Linked DNA regions of Drosophila melanogaster. The protein of the gene in region 1 purifies or fractionates together with the protein of each later gene. This does not show direct contact. Each region holds a gene or a part of one and is shown on either strand. Other genes may lie near its edges. The genes, in order: spir and capu.

Region 1 (4,848 bases):
ACAAAGGTTACGTGTGAATTTAGATAAGAAATTGACGATCACAGACCTTTAATTACAGAGGTTTAAGAGCTAAGAACATTTTTTAAGTTATTTATAAAAGAAAATTTCTGAATTTTAAGTAGTATACTGAAATGGGTTTTAAAATCCCCTAGGACTTCCTACAGCATTATCAGCCATCTATAGTTCCTTCACCTCCGAGTTACACAGTTCAATTAATACTGTAACTTCCTGTATCTGCGTGCCCTTAAGATTACCCATGTAACTGGCTAATTGTCTATAAGAGCTAACTAATTGGCCACGCTGATACAAAAGCCGGCTATAGGCAGAGTTGGCCTGGCCAAATAGAGATAGACAGGCCCATACGAAGAAAGATGCAATGGAATGCAGTTAATGCTGCAGACCAAAAGCTGAGCTGAGTCACATTAAGGGCCACCTAGGAGAACGAAATCCAAGATTCCCATCACTACCCACTCAGAAACGCATTTTCCAATTAACGTGGCTTATCTAAAAGTCGATAGATTACCGACCTGTATTTTGACAGTCCCCGCGCAGACGAATGATTAAACAATTAGCTGCGAGACAGACTCAGACACGTTCTGTAGATTCAGAGATCGAGAGGCGAAAAAGTATCCCCCCATCAATTACAGCGAATGCAGGGGGAATGCCGAAAGGAAAGGCTGTGATCGTTACACTGGAAAAAATCTACTTTCGTAGATTTGGATTCGATTGTATTGCGGCAAGGAAAAGCGTTCAATCTTCTGCCCAATCCGAACATGACCTGCCTTTCTTCCAGTGATACTTGTGCTCTCCGAGCTACAAAAGAAAGTGAAAAACACTGCTGATAGGGTACTGGGATGGTACCTTCTTCATGGGAGTCGCCGTTTACACTTTCCCAAGCCAGCACGCAATCAGACAGAAGGCAGAAGTGGGGAAAACCCCAATCAAAGCTGGCTGGCTGCATAACTTAAATGCAGAGGTCATCATCGGATGGCGGATAGTGTGGGTTGTTTGTTTGGAAAGCGCTGGGGACTCCGCTGGCGATGGCCGGGCGATGCCAATAGTCAGATGGATGGCACACGGAAACCCACATCACGGCAGATGTCCGAAAATAAAAGGCCGAGAGAAAGAAGTTAACTGTGGCTTATTAACTGAAAATGAAAGCGTTTGCCGAAAAGACAAAGACCCCTCAGCATTCGGAGAGGCATCAGCGCAACCGGTTTTCCGGCCCAGCTAATCACAGCCCCAGTTTTCATCACTGTTACAGTTCCGCATCTGAAGTCAACACCCAACTGACCTCTGACGGGCCGAAATACACATAAACTATATATATATCTTTAGGAAGACTCATAAAAAATAATAGGAAATATTGCTCAAAGGATACAGAACTTAACACAAAGTCGAAAGAATATACACGGGTTGCTAGCTTAAAGGTAGTCAAATTGCATTTGCGTGCAATGTACAATAAATTATTTGTGATTAAAACATGTTACTATAATTGTAAGGAAAAACGACATTAAAATGTCATTTGGGGTTGGCAGGTTCATTAGGTTATCAATCCAAATTGTTAGTTGATCAATGTTGTATTGAACATTTCCACTTCTATATAGATTCTAAAGATTGCCAGTTGTGTGCAGCACGTTAATAAATAAATGTTATAACATTAATAACTATGACTATAGATCAATTTTAGTTCAAATATTTTCAGCATGATTTAAAAAATAATAAATTAAAAATTCAAGGAATAGAAGATTCATACTAAGTTAATTTCCGTTAATTAAACAACTGGCATAAACTGCAGGAATATTAATTTCCGCTAACTGTAGCCGTGAGAAATATGTATGCATATTGATTTTTCAGTAGGTCGGTCTGCTTACCTCTGTTGATGACGCTGCTGTCGCCGCTGCTGCTGGCGCTGTGGTCCGGCTGATCCACAATCACGTCGTGCTGCGGGGGGAGGGGGATCTGCTCCTGCTGCAGTTGCTCCTTAGGCGTCAGCTGATCCGGGCCGGAGAAGTGGACGCTGCCGTCGCGATGGAAGTGCAGCTCGAATCCGGTGGGCAGGGCGGCCTCGTAGTCCGCGGCACAGGTGTGCGCTTGTACGGCCACCTGGTGGTAGAGCCCGGCGAACTGGTGGATCAGGGCCCAGGCCTGGTCCTCGGAGAGCGGCGCCTTAAAGGAGTCCAGGATGTCGTGCAGCGTGACGCACTGTTCTGGCGAGGAGCAGCGGTGGAAGGCTTGCAGGATGAGCGGGCGGGCTTGGCCCGCCTGCTGGGGATGCGCACTGGAGGACATGGCCAGCTGGTCCGCTGGCAGCTTGTGTTGGGCATCGCCGTTGGCGCTGTCCGGCGATGTGGACAGGAAGGCGTCTTCCTTCGCGTCCTTGAACTTTCCACTCGGGGTGGGTGTGGGCGTGGCCTTGACCTTGGTGGGCGGCGTGTCCGCCTGCTCCTCGGCCTGGTGCTCCGTCATTATGTGTGTGGGCGTGTGTGGCTATCGATGGCTTTCAACCCGATTCCACTGCAAACCCGGCACTGGCCAACATATAATTGATTTTTTTGCCTCTTTCGGGTGGGCTAACCTGCAAAATTCGCGGTTTGTTTTTGGTTCGATTTTGGTTTAGTTTTGTTGTTGTTGTTTTTCTGTGTTGTGTGTGGTAAATGGCAAAGGAAACTTTAATACAATAATAACACAACACGAGGGGATGGAATTCGGATTCCCGACGTACACGATTCTAATATTTTGTTTGTCGTCAGCTACATTAAACACAAAGCACAGGGTATAACAAAAAACACATGATTTTCGCTTGAGAATATTTTAAACTGGCGTCACGTTTTTGTTTTCGCACTTCTTAAGTCGGCATTCGCAAATCGCCGTTAGACTCTGCTAGAAATTTCACAACACTGAGGAGATGGAAATCACGCACTTTGCTTTATTTTTATTTTCTTCTGTTTCATTTGCATTTCTTTATTATTTGAAATCTCTCTGTTTTTCTTCGGCAATCGCACTTCGTTTTTTCTCACCGGCTATTTTTTACACACGTCCGTTCGCCGCGAGTTGCTAATCGTAAATGACACTCTTGTGCTCAAATGCATGCAGCATGCAACAATGTTACCAACTTAAATGTTGCCGGAACGGCCGTTCCAACTTGAGTTAAGAGAGCATTTTGTTCGTACAAGAAGAGAAATATCTTCGTTGTGTTCTAAATGAAATTTGAATTGGAATTGAGGGATTTTTTTTTTAATTAAAACTGTTCTTTTGAAGACAGCTGATTCACCTAATAATAAGATCACATCAAAATGTAGAGTCAATTCGACGGAGAGCGAGAAAAAAAAAACAAACAAGCCCGCGGGAAAAACATAAAGTTTTCTCTTTTCAAATTTGTTGCTTCAAAACGAAAAAAGTGAATGGTCTCTTGTTATGATATACTCTCTTTTTCCGTGGAAACATGCATAGCAACAAGATGATGCAACATTCCCAAATGTTGCAGACTAAAGTGTTGCCGACTAAAATGTTGACGGATCAGCCGTTCCAATTGGAGTTGAGGGACAATTTTTATTCGTAAATAAAGAGAAATTTTTTCGTTGTCTTCTAATTGGAATTAAGGAATTTTTGGGGAGCGACAGCTGATTTACATAATATAAACATTGATTACAAGAATATATTGTAGTATGTGCATATATCGAGGGTACACTGTACCTATAAGTACACAGCAACACTTAGTTGCATTGCATAAATAAATGTCTCAAGTGAGCGTGATATAAGATCACCCATTTATGCTTTAAGCTAAGTCAGCATCCCCACGCTGGCCGCTGGCCATATATGCGCATAAGCTCTCTCTCTCTCTCTCTTATACATATATATATACGCTGCTCTTCTGCCGCTGTCGACGGCGGCGCAGTCGCAGTATTTAGGTAAGATTAGACACTCTGTAGAGGTTAAGCGGGCAGAACCGTTTCTGCTACTCGAAGAGATAAGAAGAAATAAAAAGGTGGCCTGACGGCTGCACCCAACTGCAAGGAAAACACGTGTTCTCAATTGGTGGCATATATTGGTTTATTACATGGCGACCGTGAGGCAGGAGCCTGCGATCTGAGGACTACTGAGGAAATGCTGCTAATATTGCCGATTTGATTTGGGAATTCTAAACAGCGACAACAGGTGTGAGAGGCAGGCCGCCCCTTACACCAGTGCGGGAGACCTAGAGACGGGACACTGATGAAAAAAAAAAGAAACAAAAATACTGAGTGAGTAGAGTGTGGTAATGGGCAAACGCGGATGTCAGGAAATCAAAAATAAAGGTATAGCACATATTAAGTGGCTATGATATACAAATAAAACACCGCCCCCATGGGCAACGGCACCGAAATTAACTGCCGAATTAGACTTTCTGAAAGAAAACCTCCAGCAAAGAAAGCCGAATACCACAACTCACTCAGCAAAAATAGAAATAATCAATGAAGAAATAACTGAAAATTCAACATCACCCAAGCCGAAAAGACCCGACGTCTGCATGAACGACTGCCCTCGACCATTGTAAGCCGCAACAGCAATTAGCACGGCATCCTGCGAGGGTAGGATTAGGATAAAGGATAAAGGATTCCACCGGCGCGCCGCACATGACAACAGCGAATGTCTACCAAGCAGACGTTCGAACACCCTGCTCCTGTCGAGCAAAGGGATCTGCCAAGTATCAAAGAGGTAATAGAGGTAGATCCGTCCGCGGGACCAAAGCCCTTGACCATACAAGAGTACAAGGCACGGACTGCAGCGAGGGAGCAGCCACCTAAAAAGAAGAGGGGTGGCCGCCGGATTAAGTTGCTCAGCGCCCGGAGGCTCAACATCGAACTA
Region 2 (4,936 bases), about 16 Mb from region 1:
AAGTTTTTCGACTCCTCATTAGCTTTTGTCTCCATTGGGGCATTAAATTGGAACGAATATTTGTTTGCTCGGTTCGACTAATTGCGCTGCTAATTTCAATTGTTCGCATTGTCGGCAAGCAATAATAATGCAAAAATTGTAATTACAAATTAACAATTGGTCGTCTGGGTCCCTCGGTGACCTAAAATTAGATTGTGTAAATTTGCAAATTAATTTGCCATTGCACAAAGAGCTCCGTGCAATTCAGCTCGGCAAAATCAGAGCACACAATATCAATTTATTTACTGTGCAATCTGTAAATAGTAGAACATGGAGTCATTAAATTGCAACTGCTAAAAAAAAAACTTGAAAATTTAGTACTGCCAGTCAAAAGTCCAAGTGAGTTGCATTTACATAAAAATAGGCTAACAAAAAAAATATCTACACAGCGTCATACAAGACCGCAAAAATATGGAAATTCAAATAGAAACAGTATCTTTTAGCAAAAAGAGAAAATCTTTAAAATAAAATCATAATAGCCGGCAAATGGAATAATCAACAGACATCAAAACGAATTCGAATTAAATTTTAAACTGCGGGAAGCTTAAAACCGATTTTGTAAACTACAACTGGGTGAAAAGTTCAATACAAATACTTTTATTTACTTTTCACCTTCATTTGTGAAAGGTGATTACCGAAAAATCATCAGCCAACTATAGCAAAACTTTCTCCCAACTTGCGGATGAAACAAAAATGATACAAATTCCTTTTTGCTTTCTTTTTTCGCTCTAAAATTATAAAATCGAAATGGGTTGTAAAAACAATCAGTTGTACAGAATTCTTTGCTTGCTTTCGATTGTTAGTAAAACCCTTGAGCACTCAGTGATATTGTAAAAATACACAAAATATTTAATTGCACAGCAAAGTATAAAAGAAGGGGGAATTATCTTTAATCCAATACTTGTTTAGCTCTGTTATGAAATATTTGAGTAATAAATCCACATAATTGATACTTTTAACAAACAAAATAAAAACGTAATATGTGAGCATTAAAAATGAAAAATGTATCAGTATTTTATTTGAATAATTGCAAGCGGAAGCAAGGAATTTAGTAAAATAAAATAATTTCGTTTTTGAATGAAGGTTACATAAATTTCTCTTAGCGATAAAAACTATTTAATGGATATTAAAGATTTAAGGACATTGTAAATAGATAAACAGAGTAAACCAAAGAGTTTAGAAATTTAATTTGAAATAAATGTGTTTAAAACATAATCGAAAATATTTATTAGAATAGTGAATAATATCTGCATTTTTATGAATGGGTTACTGTGGCGTTGAGTAAGATACATCTATAAATGGTATTTCTTATTTAATTAATGATCTTACTTTTAACTATGTATAATAAAAAAATAGTTTTAAAAATAGTTAAGGAGTTTTATTTAGTCCCCGAACAAACTCAGACCACCCACGCATTTTTCAAGTATCCACCTAGATATAAACAAAGATGTACTGGTAATCCAAAACCAAATATGATCAAAATAGCCAATAACTTTAGTCTAAGTCTGCGACTATATTAAACTGTCCATTTTCGTTCTATAATTTTTACTCAAACTAAATGTAAACTATTAAATCTGCTTTTAAAAAAAAAAAGAACCGAGAGAACAGAAATGTTCACGCCAGGCGATTGAAACATTTTACTGACCTTTTTAGTGCGAAACCAAAAGTTTAAACTAATTTTAATTGTAAACCTAGACAGTAATGATATACGATATATTATACAATGTAAATCAGAATATACGATAATTATAAAGTAAATAAAATGAAATTTAAAACAAGCAGTTCGTCTACACCGTTCAATTGGGTTAGGCATACAAAATTCTGTCAAAATTTGTGTAATTTTTCGTTTCCTTTTTTTTGTTGTATATCGTTTTGGTAAGATGATTGTGTATCCAATGGAAGAGCTCTATCCGGCTATGATGGTCATAGCCATCACATTGTTAGCCCTTCTGCAATGGGGTATTCGTGCCACAATTAAGCCCAAAATATTGGGCCCACAGAAAAACGCAATAAAAAATGGAGTAAACAACAAAAGGAGGAAAGTCCTCTCCGCCATGCAGGTAAATTGAAAAATGTTTGCAATTGTTTTTACCATCTATCTATGCTCTTTTTGCGGTGCGCACAATTAAGGTGGAAAAATGTAGATCGACTGTCAGATATTCTTACAGAAACTGAATATATTTTGCCTATCTGAGCATTAAACAACAATGACCATTAATGATTTATCAGATTTAAAGACCAGTATATATGTATAATATATAATTAATAATCTTCATATATATTATTTTTAATTACTACAACTTAGGCACAACACTAGTATTTTTAACAATCATTGCACTTAACAGATTTTTGTTTTGATTTTAAAAAGTGTATTCAATTATTTCGCAACTTTAAAACTCAATTTTTGTGGAATTTTATTTTTTGACTGCTTGGCAACTCTGACCACCAATGCGTGCCTGTGTGTGTGTTGCTTGTCAGTCTGCGTGTGTGTGTGAGTTTGCGCTGCTGGCAAACCGCAAAATGGTGACATTGTGCAAATAAAAAACAATTTACGATAAACATCAAATTTCCACAAATTACCTTATATTTTACGTGAGTTGCGAAACAGATTGTAAAACGCGAAAACACACACAAACCGAGGGAAAAGTGAAAAAAAAGAAAACCGCGATTCGCAGATTTTACACTGCAATGAACATTTTGTTTCACTGTTCACCATTGTTTGCCAAGTGTGGAATAGGGGCGAGAGGTTTGGAAACTTGGGGGCGTGGCTAAGAGAGGTGCCACTTTAAGCGTGCCGCATGCCCCCACCTGAATCTCGAATTTTGCAATTATTTTTATTGCTCGCCATTTTGCTCGTCTGATGTTTTCCACGTTTTTTTTTTTCACCCCCCAGCTGCAACCTGACGGGGGTTGGGGAATGTGTTTGGGGGCAGAATAGAGGTCGTAGGCCATTTCGAGGGCCCTTCATAAATTTCCACAGTGCGGAAGAAGGAAAAAAAATTATTCTTTATATGAGGGAAATAAATAAAAAAATGCTTGTTAAGCTGCGGCGCTGTATGTTTGCGCATAAAAAGCATACAAATTATGCAGGCACTGTAAGAGATTAAAAACTAAATAAAAATAAGTGTGAAAAATTGCTTCCTAAATATATAACGAGAAACCCTTTTCAATCTTAAATAGTATCATTGATCAAACTTTTCAATCGCACCTTTATCAACACCTCAGATTTTCAGAGCAAAAGAGATTTGCAGCCATCTTGACATTTGTCGGCCAGTATGAGGCGCCACTTTCCCACGATTTTCCATTTCGAAGAGCTCATTCCTGCCCCCTAATTGATGTCGCCAGGTGTCGTCGAACCACATAAACAGGGCTCAACGGCAAAAAAAAAAGAAATCCAGAACAGCCAGTTCACTGGCCGCATTGTGCGCCAGAGGGCCAATAATTAGGAGTGTCTTTAAGATGGGTCTAAAAAATGATAAGAGGGCTGGAAAGCAGATAGCGACATGACCAACTCAAATAGGCAGCGGGGAAACTTGGCCTAGACTGTGTTGACTTGCTGGCCAATGTAATTAGGGAGCATTAGGATTAGACCGACTGTTCCCAAGCAGCGGATAACAAAGCACTGCACAGAGAGAAGATAATTAGGTCTAATTTGTACTATTAAATATACTTCTTTAAAGGTATTAAATAAAAATTCTACTTAGCTCGTGGGAATATCAGAAATTAAATGCCAAGTAGTTGTTAGAAAAATATTGAATAATCCTGAGAAACATACTTCTGATTTTCAGTGCAAACGCAATAAGCCAACTAAAACTTGGCCAACGGCAAGTTGGAGAGAAGGAGCAGAAAATGTGGTAAACTTTTTGCTGTTTTGGCGTAAACAAAAATAAATCAATTTCTTGGTGCGCACAATTGTTAAGATAGTAGATAGGACAGAGTCCATAACGACAGGACCGAACAACAGGATAAGTCCGCAGAGTCATGTCAATGGCCGGCGGCTTTCGAGAAATGGAAATTTCGAAAGACGCCAGGCATTTTTCCTTAGATTCTTTTGCAAATATTCCAAATTCAACGGAAAGTGGAATAATATTTGCACGACTTGCGTATGTAAAGCCACTTATACCTGGGACCATGCTGATTGCATTTGGAAGTATTTTCAGGTGCCTGTGGCAAATTTAAATATTCAAGTGACCTTTAAGAAGAAGTTTTTATAAACAAAAACAATTTAAACATTTCTTCTTGGCACAACTCATATACAGAGTTCCGTGGATTTCCGTGGCATCGCCGATAATTATTTCTTGAAACATGCTAGAATTCAATTTCTAAAACTCCAATCAAATTACCAATATACACGTCTCGAACAGAAACCTAATTTGAATGCCAGCGAAGCGGGTGAAATGTAGTTAACTTTCAGTCGATTTAGTTTGGTTTCGAGCTCCCTTCAATAACCCTTGTTCTAAGCTCCAAGTCCCCCATACCGTCACCATTAGTTCTTATTCCCCGGGTTCTTGTCGCTATTTCTGCTGTTCCTGCTGTTGCATCGCATTCTCATTGACAAGTTTAATTGATGGGCGTCAGCGTCAGCTTTTGGCTTCAGCTCGACGGAGTTTGGGGAAAAGGCCATGGCCAAGACACCATCCCGCATACCCCACTTTGCCCATCACACTCTGACCCCCGTTGTACAGTACACCCTCGATTACCGGAATGGCGACGCGACAAAACCGCAGAATCTAATTTGGCACAAACCACCAAAGCAATTAAAGTTGCAGCTCTGCAAACGGTGTCCGATGCGAATGTTCCCCAACTGTCTATCTGTCTCTGTCTTTCCCTCGGCGCGTTTGTGTGTGTGTGTGTGTGTGTGTGTGTGCGAAGGTATCGGTGTGGGTGAGTCCCTGTG

Evidence for each region.
Region 2: the proteins of spir (region 1) and capu purify together in Drosophila melanogaster (affinity purification with western blotting, with the first as the bait; one study listed by BioGRID). This does not show direct contact.

The regions. Positions count from the first base shown.
Region 1 is NT_033779.5:20,309,441-20,314,288, reverse strand, and holds the start of spir (spire), read right to left. Parts: upstream 3,071-4,848; 5' UTR 2,470-3,070; coding exon 1,875-2,469; intron 1-1,874.
Region 2 is NT_033779.5:3,899,758-3,904,693, reverse strand, and holds the start of capu (cappuccino), read left to right. Parts: upstream 1-1,833; 5' UTR 1,834-2,099; intron 2,100-4,936. UniProt on the Drosophila melanogaster protein: Acts as an actin nucleation factor and promotes assembly of actin filaments together with spir. May play a role in intracellular vesicle transport along actin fibers, providing a novel link between actin cytoskeleton dynamics and intracellular transport.